Linked DNA regions of Elephas maximus indicus. The protein of the gene in region 2 interacts with the protein of the main gene of each other region in a pairwise test. Links are inferred from orthologs where the notes say so. Each region holds a gene or a part of one and is shown on either strand. Other genes may lie near its edges. The genes, in order: ZNF131, FHL2 and SAXO1.

Region 1 (3,749 bases), on a different chromosome or scaffold from region 2:
ATCTTACCAAGCACTTTAGTGAAAAGTAAGAATTCTCAAGTGCCAAAAGAACAATTTATCTAGTCACTTAATAGGAACTACTGATGCCTGCTTCCCATGGTGTCTTGCTAATTTAACTGTTTAAACCTTCTTCATTGGTTATAATGTTTACTCAAGTGTTGCATTTAAAAGAAGTATTTACCTTCTATCTCCACCAAAGGTTCCTGAGTAAATTCCTGAAAGAATTTGTAGAAGAACTTACTGCAAGCGGCCAAAACAGCCTTGTGGGCCTTAAAATGGTGCCCTAAGAAAAAAAAGAAAAACAATCACAAAAGGCAAGTGTAAAACCATAAACAAGTTAAAAAAAAAAAAAAAAACTATATAAAGTAACATGTTTTTCTTTATAATGTAAATATATAAACACATAAATTACTGGAAACATAAATTGAACTGAAATCAATATTCTTGGCAGCTATTTTGGCAAATTTTAATCTCTGTTAGACAGGAAGCAGTAATCTTCCTCAAACGCCTTACTAACTCAGTTTAATAAAGGCCAGTTTATTGCACTTCAGGAGATAAGGTGCTTCATACCACTGAAAAGAAGCACTTTCTGTTACTTTCAATGAGGGAGTAAAAGGCATATCCTATTAACTTGAAACTGCTAAATATAAAAGTTACATACCACTTCGAAAGAGAGAAAAAAAAGCCATAGAATAATCACAGACTTGGATGTGTCTGCTCTGGAAAACATTTTAATATGCCTAATATTTGCAAGTCCAATCTACAGCAGACCTATAATAAAGAAAAGTTTTCCTTGAGAAGCCTATGTTCACTAAACAGCTAGATTTTCACCTCCTTTATATTTACAATCCCTGAGAAAGACTAATAGAGACTCTATTTTATTTTGGGGGCTCCCAAAGGGGAGCAACTGCTGCAAAAAAGAATCTGTCACATTCTCCCTCCAAGACCATTTGAGAAACCAGAAACGAATCAACACTTCCCAAATGCTTCCTGTGAGAGACTTCTCAAGAGAAGCTTATCAACTGAAGATTATTAACCAAAAAAAGAAAAAAAATAGAGAAATGTTCCCTATTCCTAAGGCATCAGCTTGTGCTCGTGTGCAATGACACCAAACTTCAAGGGGCTGCAAGAACTTAAAAAGCAATGAACGCCAGACTGTGCTAAAAGCGTGACTGGCCGAACAGCTTGGGGAGCACGGTCTCCATGGCGGACACAGGCAAGTGCCCCCTGGTCCCTACGCACACCCTCCGCGGACTTTTGGAAGAGACCCCATAGCGGGTGAATAAAAGGTGGGTGAGGGAAGGGAAAAACTGAAGCCACAAAATCGTTCCTCTGCCCACCACCCTACCCACCGTCGACAATCAGGGTGATGTCAGTAAACCGGTCCTGCTCTCGCTGTTCATTCAATCGGTCCAGGATCATTTTATGATGTTCAGGGAACTCCTGAAGGCATTCCATCGTCTCTTCAGCCTCCATGGCCGTCGGGTTGCTCTACAAAAGAGGAGCATGATAATGTACACCCATGAGCTCGGACTGAGGCACAACAAATCCCCTAACACATAAAACAACAAAAAACAAAACCCCAGCAACGTGAAAAGAAGGGGGGAGGGTAAGGCAAGAGGAGAGGAAGGCGAGGGGAGAAAGAAAGGCTAGCCGGGTGGCCGCCGCGCGTTGGGGGCCGGAGCCGCGGCCGCGGGACTCCCAGCCTGACCTAATTGGAGTCGGGAGACGCGAGCTGGAGCGGGGTGGGCGCAGCGCCGGAGGCTCCGGGTGCCAGGGCGCGCAAGTCCGGCAGGGGAGGGGACCCGACAGCAGCGGCGGCCCGCTAACGGCCCGCCAAGCCCTCCCGCCCGGCCCGGGCTACCGCCGCCCAGAGACCCGGTCCGGCCCGCGGCCCACAACGACTCCCGGGTCGCCTCTCCCTCCCCCGCCCTCCCTCTTCTCCCCCGCCCCGACCGGGCCGGCACTCACTCAAGGAAGGAGGAGCGGCCCGGGCCTGCGCGTCACTTACGTCGCCGTCCTGCGTCACCGCGTCAAACTCCGGCTGACGCGGACGCCTTCCGAGCGCCGACCAAGGAAGAAGCAGGCTACGCCCCCGCTCTTCCCTCCTAGGGCTGGGGCGGAGCGAGCCAAGGATTTGGCGCCCGCCGAGGGCGAGACCGCGCGCTTTGGGAAGAACCTATTCGACTGCGGTGGGGTTAGGCCTATTCAAGGCCTGGCTGGGCAAGGCGAGCCTAAATCGCAGCTCTTCCACTTCCCAAACCTCCCCGCAGACTGGCGCTCCAGACGCTCAGATTAAACTCGCTAGCCGTTCCCAGCGTGCTTTAATTCCGCGGCTTCCCCAGCCCCGCCCCGCCCCGCCCCGCCCTCTTTCCTCCCAAGCCATAGGTCGGCCCGCCTTACCTAGCTCCAGGCCCTCCCACTCTCCTTGCTTTCCCCTAAATCCTTTACTTCCCTGCTTTCCCTTCCCGGGGCGTAAGTCGCCCCACACCTTTCCGTACCCCTAGGCCGCGGCTCGCCCTCCATTTTCCCTGCGAGAGCCTCGGTGTTCCGTCCGCTCGCGTCCAGCCGGCGCACGAGCGCTGCGACTGCCACGGGGGCGAGCACGTTCCGGCCACCCAGGATCTTCCTCCCCTGTGCCCGCCCCTGGCGCGCCGGGCGGGCCGCACGTGTTTGCTATGCTCAGAAACCTGGATCAGCTCGGAATTATTTACACTTGATGCTATTATTACAGTCCCTCCTCACAGAGACCCAAATCAAAAAACCAAACCCGTTGCCGTCGAGTCAGTTCTGACTCATAGAGGCCGGTGATCCATAATCGCATGCATGTGACTGACTCATTCATTCAAACGAAGAAATGCTTCCTGAGGATAATATGGTACTTGAGATTTACTTATTCTCTTCTCTCAAGTAACTTGGGAATGGGGTTTAGGCAAAAACACAAATAGCTACATGCAAGGGTGAGTGTAGTCCTTGTAGCCGATAGTCATTGAGAGCCAACAATGTGCTAGGCACTGTGTAAAGGGCTGGGGAATACAACTGTGAACAAAACACATGTAGTGCCTGCCCTCAGAATCTGTCTGATAGAGTAGATAGATATTTGAATAGTAATCACCTGGGTATTGACTGCCCAGTGTTATGAGAAGCTAAGAACAAGGTAATCTAGGGGTCAAAGAAAGCCAGTGACCTAAGAGAAGCAAAATAAAGTTTGAGTGTTCCACCCAAGGGTGCAGCACATGCAAAGGTGTTAAAATTAAAGCATTCCAGAAGGAGAAAGCATGATGCTGGGTCAGACCTATGGGGGGCCTTGTAAGCCATGTTAAAGGTGTTAGACTTTCTTTTAATACTTAGGGCTCTGAACAAGGTCTAGCAGGGTGATGACAGCATAAGATTAAAAAAAGTAACAGTTAAGAGGTCGGCTGTCTGCTGCTAACTGAAAGGTTGGCAGTTCAAACCCACCCAGCTGCCCTGCTGGAAGAAAGACAAGCTCTGGTAAACATTACGATTTTGAAAACCCTGTGGAGCAGTTTTACTGTGTCGTATGGGGTCGCCAGGAGTGAAAATTCACTCCACAGCACCTAACAACACAACAGCCCTGTCTTAGTCATCTCGTGCTTCTATAACAGAAATACCACAAGTGAATATCTTTTAAAAACAGACGTTTATTCTCTCACAGTCTAGTAGGCTAGAAGCCCCAACTCAGGGTGTCAGCTCCAGGGGAAGGCTTTCTTTCTGATAGTTCTAGGGGA
Region 2 (3,749 bases):
TTTTTTTTTTAATTTGGCAGGTACCATTAATAGTGTAGAAATCATCAGATTTCTTTCAAACTGATATTTTGAAACCAGTTTCTATATTTTTATAAAAATTATTTATCTAAATGCTCAGTTTATGCTTTTTTACTCCTATTTTATCCAACTATTATGAAATATTTTAATATTCTGGCTAACTGAATAAGTCATAATGTTATATAAGCCATAAACCCAAAACTCGACTATTGTCATCAAGTCGATTTAGACTCATGGCGGCCCCTTGAGTTATACAGTAGAACTGATCCATGGAGTTTTCTTGGTTATACTCTTTAGGGCAGCAGATTGCCAGGACTTTCTTCTGCAGCACTGCTGGGTGGATTTGAACCCACAACCTTCAGGTCAGCAATTGAGGGCAAACCCTTTGAGCCACTCAAGGACCTAATGTCATATAAACCCACTGCCATCGATTCGATTCTGACTCATAGCGACCCTATAGGACAGAGTAGAACTGCCCCATTGAGTTTCCAAGGAGCGCCTGGTGGATTCGAATGGCTGACCTCTTGGTTAGCGCTGTGGCACTTAACCACTATGCCCCCAGGGTTTCCCTAATGTCATATAGAGAAAATCAATTTTCAAAGAATTACATTTTGAGTAGACAGTAAAACATAAATTTATGTAAGAACATAAATTGGACAAAAAGAGATCACTGAATAACCCAATGATCCATGAACATGCACTCATATGTGTATATATATTTCTTTAAGTATATTGACCTTTCGGTTAGCAGCCAAGCTCTTGTCATTTAGTGGTTAAGAGCTCAGCCGCTAACCCAAAGGTCAGCAGCTCAAACCCACCAGCCGCTCCTTGGAAACCCTATAGGGCAGTTTAACTCTATCCTATAGGGTTGCTATGAGTTGGAATCAACTCAATGGCAACAGGTTTTTGGGTTGGTGGAAAGGGGATGATTTTAAGTTGCTGCCTCTGGGCCATGCATTAAATGTTAAATATTCTGCGGACCAGGAGAAAGTCTGTAGGTCCCTGTGCTACGTACTGTGGAAATACACTGGGGAGACCGTCTTGGCCTGACCTCTGAGATCTGCAATTTATGGAAAGCTCTGGAAGCATTATCCAGGATGAGGAAGTCTGTCAGTGGAAAATGTGCTCGAAGACAGGCAAGGCTGTGGGTGAGCCAGCAGCACTCAGGGAACGCTGCATGGGAAAATATGCAACTTTCATGGCAGTTATGCATTAAAATATTTCCTTAATTTTTCAAAAAGTTCCCAAAACGTAATCATTTGAGTGGTATACTTAGCTATTCAGTTAAAAACAAAAACTTTGTAAAATAGGCAGCATCTTGAAAATGTAATAGAACTTTTTCCAGCAAATTTTGTTGTTATAAAGCCACGCAATAAAATAAAATTCAAATAACATTCCTCAAGACATAAAACAATAACAACGACAAACCCATATATAGAAAATACCCAATAAAAGAGCATTAGCCTGTAAGGCAGATATTAATACTATCTTTTGACCTCAGAATTAGTAAAAAAAAAAAACCAAAACAACGAAATATTGAGTGACAATTTCTTTTCTTTTTAGATTGGACTTCATAAAGTGTCTTGCATGGAGCCTGGCTAGAAGAATGATTGTATACATGTCATCGTATATGTTATTCTGTCCTTATTGACATGATTGTGCAATTGGTTAGAGCATTACCCTACGTGCATTTTAGTGTCTATCCTGCTCCGGCAATTAGTAAAATATTAATACATTTCCTTTTAAAGCGAGCAACAGCTATTTGTACTTTTGAACCATAAAATAGCAAGTCATTCTGTATAAACATTCTTTCCCAGTGTGTAACCAGATTCATCAGTAATTTGCCTTTTCACCCCAGGCCATCCGGAAATTCTGTCATGGAGAAAAAGCTCAAGTGCGCTGTGGTTTTTTTTCCCCCTCCAATGTTTATTTTATTATTATTTTTTCTTCCCCCTTTTAAAGAAGTTTCCCAGTGTTCAAAACTCAGTTTAAAGGCCTGCTGCCTGCTGATAGAGGGAGAGATGACCACAGCTTTTCCTTGTACTTGATATGCAAGCGGGCACCAGGGTAGCTTTGTGAGGGGAAGCTCTTTCCCCACAGCCTACAAAGGAGATTTGTTATTGGTGGCGACACCACCCGTGAGCCCAACTGCAGTGATGTCTGTGTCTCTGCTCTGGGTCTGGGAAGTCCACAGTGCCCGAGAGCTCTTTCCCAGGAGTGGGACACTCATTCCCCACACGGCAGGAAGCCCTCGGATTACACAGCTGGTGTCTAAGCCTTGCTGCAGACACAGGCAAGCAAAGAAGGCAATGGAGAGAAAAAGGCAGAAGATGAAAAGAGCGGCCCTTACCTGCTGTGGCGTGGCCCTGTCTTCTGTTCTCATGCCTGAACAGTGGGGACAGCAACAGCGCAGGGCTGACCTCTTTATTGAATTATCCCAACTGTGGTGTGTGTAGCTGCTGGCCAGCTGGGCTTGCTCATGCCAACGGGGCTATAAATAAGGCACCTCCAGAGAAAGAGCCATCCATAGGAGATAAGAACCCAGCCCCTCTGTTCTGCAGGCCTTTTAAGGTATCCAAATTAAAGGAGCCTCAGTCCCCAGACAGAAAGGGGCTGCCAGTTTCCCATTTGGAGCACTTACTTCAAGGACATCTCAGCCCTTGAAAATATCCCAACTGTCAAAAGAGCAGCGCTGAGTGAAGGGGCAGCAATAATTGCCAGCAAAGGATCTCGTTTTATCAGACACGCAACAGAGCTTACAACAGGCTGGCAGGTGGACTCATGACTGTGTGCTCATCAGATTAATGGCTTTGAAGGGCAAAGGGCAGGTCAAAAACTAAACGGCTGTAGGTGACTGTGTTTTTTGTGTGTGTGTGTGTTTTTTTTTAATAATAATTTTTATTGTGCTTTAAGTGAAAGTTTAAGTAGGTGACTGCATTTTAAGGCACAGGAGTGGAAGTATATTTCTCTCAGGCTGCACAGGATCTCTGTGGTCTTGGAAACATTATCCCGACATGCACTTTAGAGACCCTGGTGGTGCAAACGGTTAACATGAGAGGCTGCTAACAGAAAGGGTTGGAGGTTCCAGTCCACCCAGAGGTGCCTCAGAAAAGAGACCTGGTGATCTGCTTCTGAAAAATAGCCGTTGAGAACTCTGTGGAGCACAGTTCTGGTCTGACACACATGGAGTTGCCATGAGTTGGAATCAGCTCAATGCCAGCTGGCATTTTGGGAGATCCCATGGTGAGAATTTTTAGCACCACCTCATGAAAGGAGTGCTCACTCTCTCCCTGGCTTCAGGAGACATTTACTTGGGTGAAAAGAATTCTAGGGAAGACCAAGGATCCAGATAGTAAATGTTGAATATGTAGGAAGCTACTGAGTAGAAGACGTTTAAAGAAAGTTCCCTCCTGATCCTCTCTGCTCATGCATAATTCTCGAGGTGCAAATAATTTCTCTATAGAACTAAAACAGAGACATCTTACTAGAGCCTCGTTTAACCACACGCTGGAAGAGGAGGGAGAAGACTAATCTGGGGGTGCGATAGCTCTTGATTCACCCTTAGATTTCTTATTTCTGAGTATGCAGAAAAGGCATTTCATCCAAGGCAGGCGTTGGGGTGTGGGGGGCTGGGGGGTGGGAATCACATGAGTTTGACTTCTCCGGAGGACTCTTTGGCACTAGCTGTATGTGTCGACACAGTGATTCCATGCTGGGAATTTGCTGGAAGA
Region 3 (3,749 bases), on a different chromosome or scaffold from region 2:
CTGTGCCCATTGTGACTATGAACCAAAACAAAAACAAACATTGGTCAAAGACGTGAGTTTCCTTTCAGAGTAGGTAGCTATAAAGGTTATACAGTATGGAAGGCCAAGAGTTAAACTCAGAGTTAAGTAAAGGCTGAAGTGGCCCCACTGGGGAAGTCATAACAACTGGACATCGACTCATTTGGCAAAGCTAAAGAAAGGTGCTAGACAAGAGTCGTCTGACAAAAGGAAGAAGGAAATAAGGACAACTAAACCAGAGTCATGACCCTGGGAGCCAGAAATGGAGAATTTTCACACGGATAAGATAACAGGACCAAGCAATACTTTTGTAACCTATTTTTAATGTTTATCTGTACAAATTTAAGAATTTGCTAGTATATTCAAATAATCAATCATATTAAGATGGGATCAATTTTTTTTTAACTTTTATTGAGCTTCAAGTGAACGTTTACAAATCAAGTCAGACTGTCACATATAAGTTTATATACACCTTACTCCATACTCCCACTTGCTCTCTCCCTAATGAGTCAGCCCTTCCAGTCTCTCCTTTTGTGACAATTTTGCCAGCTTCCAACTCTCTCTATCCTCCCCTCCCCCCTCCAGACAGGAGATACAAACACAGTCTCAAGTGTCCACCTGATATAATTAGCTCACTCTTCATCAGCATCTCTCTCCTACGCACTGTCCAGTCCCTTTCATGTCTGATGAGTTGTCTTCAGGAATGGTTCCTGTCCTGTGCCAACAGAAGGTTTGGGGACCATGACCGCCGGGATTCCTCTAGTCTCAGTCAGACCATTAAGTATGGTATTTTTATGAGAATTTGGGGTCTGCATCTCAGGGGTTCTCTGTTGTGCTCCCTGTCAGGGCAGTCATCGATTGTGGCCGGTCACCAACTAGTTCTTCTGGTCTCAGGATGATGTAGGTCTCTGGTTCATGTGGCCCTTTCTGTCTCTTGGGCTCTTAGTTGTCGTGTGACCTTGGTGTTCTTCATTCTCCTTTGCTCCAGGTGGGTTGAGACCAATTGATGCATCTTAGTTGGCCGCTTGTTAGCATTTAAGACCCCAGACGCCACATTTCAAAGTGGGATACAGAATATTTTCATAATAGAATTATTTTGCCAATTGACTTATAAGTCCCCTTAAACCCTGGTCCCCAAACCCTCGCCATTGCTCCGCTGACCTTTGAAGCATTCAGTTTATCCCAGAAACTTCTTTGCTTTTGGTCCAGTCCAGTTGAGCTGACCTTCCATGTACTGAGTATTGTCCTTCCCTTCACCTAAAGCAGTTCTTATCTACTAATTAATCAGTAAGATGGAATCAATTTTAAAGAGTCCTTCCTCCTCTTGTCCAAAGCAAATCTCTTCACGCCTGCTCAGAGTCTCATCCCTTCCCTTTTTATTGAAAGCCTCATCTAGCAACCATCTCCTATCTGTGTTTTCACTTCTTCCTTCCTAGCTCCTTTCTCTCAGTAGGTAAACATGCTGCAGTCTCTCCCATCTTTAAAGGAAAAAAAACGAAGTAAGACACAACCCTCACTGGACTCCCCTGCCATTTCTCTCCCTCCCCTTCTCTCTTCTAAAAAGGGCTGTCTACAGGTGTGGACTCTACTTTCTCACCTCCCACTCATGATCCACCTGCCATAATCTGATTCTATTTACTCCTTGCTCTCAGCAAGGCCACCAAGTACCACCCTATTTCCAAATCCAATCACAGTTTCCCCATCCTTATCTTACTGCACCCTCTGAGTAGAATCCATCTTCTCAATCTTTTTTTAATATTCTCTCCCTGGACCTCTGCGATACTGCTCCTCATGATTTGTCTTCCTTCTCAATCTCCTCTATAGGGTTTTCCCTTTGTCTGTCAATGGATTTGATTTACATCATTTCCATATATAATTCTAACGCTTCCCAGGGTTAAAAGGCACCCTTCTAAGGAAACCATAGAAAACCATTTTGTCATCCCCAGCAAGTTGAGAGGCCTATCTCAGCACACTGAAAAAGATCCCCAGATTTGAATCACAGGGTTTGGCCGTGATCTTGATAGGACACATCGAGACTTCCTTATCCTCACTACAACAGATGGGATTTCAAGTACATGCCCTCCAGGATTCAAGTTTCACAGAGCCTGTCTCCTCCTTCTAGTCTCTCAACTCCTCAGCCCCACTAAGGCTGAGGCTGACATTTGCTTCACATAAACTCTGGACAAAATATAAAAACCACTACACGAAAGCACTAAAGAGCAATTCAAATAGGCAGATTCTGGAGGAAAGCCAATAGTAGAGGAAAGGAATGGCACTGAGAGAGTGTGTCTGTGTCGGTGTCCTTTTTTTCACAATTTCTAGCTTGAAGGCAGGCCCCAGTCTGTGCGATGCAGGACAGCTAATACACAAATAGAAAACCTCCCACCTTTCTTAAGAACCAGAGGACCATGCTTAAGGCAACCACAGGTGCTAGAAAGTGAGAAAGGAATTCCAGAAGACAGAGACTACAGCCTTCAGCATGGATCACACCTGAACATAAAGAAAACTAAAATCCTTACAACTGGACCAATAAAACCCATCAAAAACCAAACCCACTGCCGTCGAGTCGATTTCGACTCATAGTGATCCTATGAGAACAGAGTTGAACTGCCCCATAGAATTTCTAAGGAATGCCTGGCAGATTTGAACTGCTGAACTCTTGGTTAGCAGCCATAGCACTTAACCACTATGCCACCAAGGTTTCCTGGACCAATAAACAACACGATAAATGGTGAAGAAATTGAAGTTGTCATGGATTTCATTCTTCTTAGATCAATAATTAACGCCCACGGAAGTAGCAGCCAAGAAATCAAACAACAGATTGCAATGGGAAAATATGCTGCAAAAGACCTCTTTAAAGTGATAAAAAGCAAAGATGTCACTTTGATGACTAAGGTTCGCCTGACCCAAGCCATGGTATTTTCAATTACCTCACATGTGAGTGAAAGCTGGACAATGAGTAAGGAAGACCAAAGAAGAATTTATGTGTTTGACTGCCAGAAGAAAGAACAAATCTGCCCTGGAGGAACTATAGCCAGGATGCTCTGTAGAAGTGAAGATGGTGAGACTTCATCTTGCTTACTTTGGACATGTCATCAGGAGAGACCAATAGCTAGGGAAGGACATAAAACTTGAATCAGCAAAAAAGAGGAAGACCCTCAAGGAGACAGACTGACAGTGCCTGCAACAATTGCCTCAAACATAGAAACAATTGCAAGGATGGCACAGTATCAGGCAGTGTTTTGTTCTGTCACATATAAGGTCGCAGTGGTTAAAACACTTGGCTGCTCACAAAAGGTCAGCAGTTTGAATCCACGAGCTTCTCCTCGGGAGACACATATAGCAATCAGCTTCTGTAAAGATTTACAGCCTTGGAAACCCTAAGGGGCACTTCTACTCTGTCCTATAGGGTCACTATGAGTAGGAATCAACTCGATGGCAGTGGGTTTGGCATGAGTCAGAGCCGACTCAATGGCACCTAACAACAACATACTTAGCCATCTAAATCCACACCTAACTTCCTCGGAAATTTTCCAGGCAAGTCTGGTGCTGAGACCTTCTTCTTCATATCTCCATAAATTCTCAGGTCCAGTATATGGAGGGGAGAATAAGTCTACCCCCAGCAGCATAGTTCTGAGTAGGGAGTCAAGTACGTATTTCCACAGAAAATATATAAAATTCGATTGGCAGACTCAGGCCTGCTACCAATTTTCTTGCTTCTTTTATGGCTT

What was found.
Region 1: the proteins of FHL2 (region 2) and ZNF131 interact in binary tests that used the Homo sapiens proteins (3 or more experiments, as listed by UniProt). The two-hybrid records come from large-scale screens. The link is inferred for Elephas maximus indicus from reciprocal best matches to the Homo sapiens genes FHL2 and ZNF131.
Region 3: the proteins of FHL2 (region 2) and SAXO1 interact in binary tests that used the Homo sapiens proteins (3 or more experiments, as listed by UniProt). The two-hybrid records come from large-scale screens. The link is inferred for Elephas maximus indicus from reciprocal best matches to the Homo sapiens genes FHL2 and SAXO1.

The regions. Positions count from the first base shown.
Region 1 is NC_064820.1:49,608,038-49,611,786, reverse strand, and holds the start of ZNF131 (zinc finger protein 131), read right to left. Parts: upstream 2,593-3,749; 5' UTR 2,502-2,592; intron 2,307-2,501; exon of another isoform or gene 1,972-2,306; intron 1,898-1,971; exon of another isoform or gene 1,712-1,897; intron 1,492-1,711; 5' UTR 1,477-1,491; coding exon 1,353-1,476; intron 284-1,352; coding exon 182-283; intron 1-181. UniProt on the Homo sapiens protein: Plays a role during development and organogenesis as well as in the function of the adult central nervous system. May be involved in transcriptional regulation as a repressor of ESR1/ER-alpha signaling.
Region 2 is NC_064835.1:80,167,421-80,171,169, reverse strand, and holds the start of FHL2 (four and a half LIM domains protein 2), read right to left. Parts: upstream 2,667-3,749; 5' UTR 2,402-2,666; coding exon 2,369-2,401; intron 1-2,368. UniProt on the Homo sapiens protein: May function as a molecular transmitter linking various signaling pathways to transcriptional regulation. Negatively regulates the transcriptional repressor E4F1 and may function in cell growth.
Region 3 is NC_064827.1:28,838,885-28,842,633, forward strand, and holds the start of SAXO1 (stabilizer of axonemal microtubules 1), read right to left. Parts: upstream 2,781-3,749; coding exon 2,760-2,780; intron 1-2,759. UniProt on the Homo sapiens protein: May play a role in the regulation of cilium length. Stabilizes microtubules at low temperature.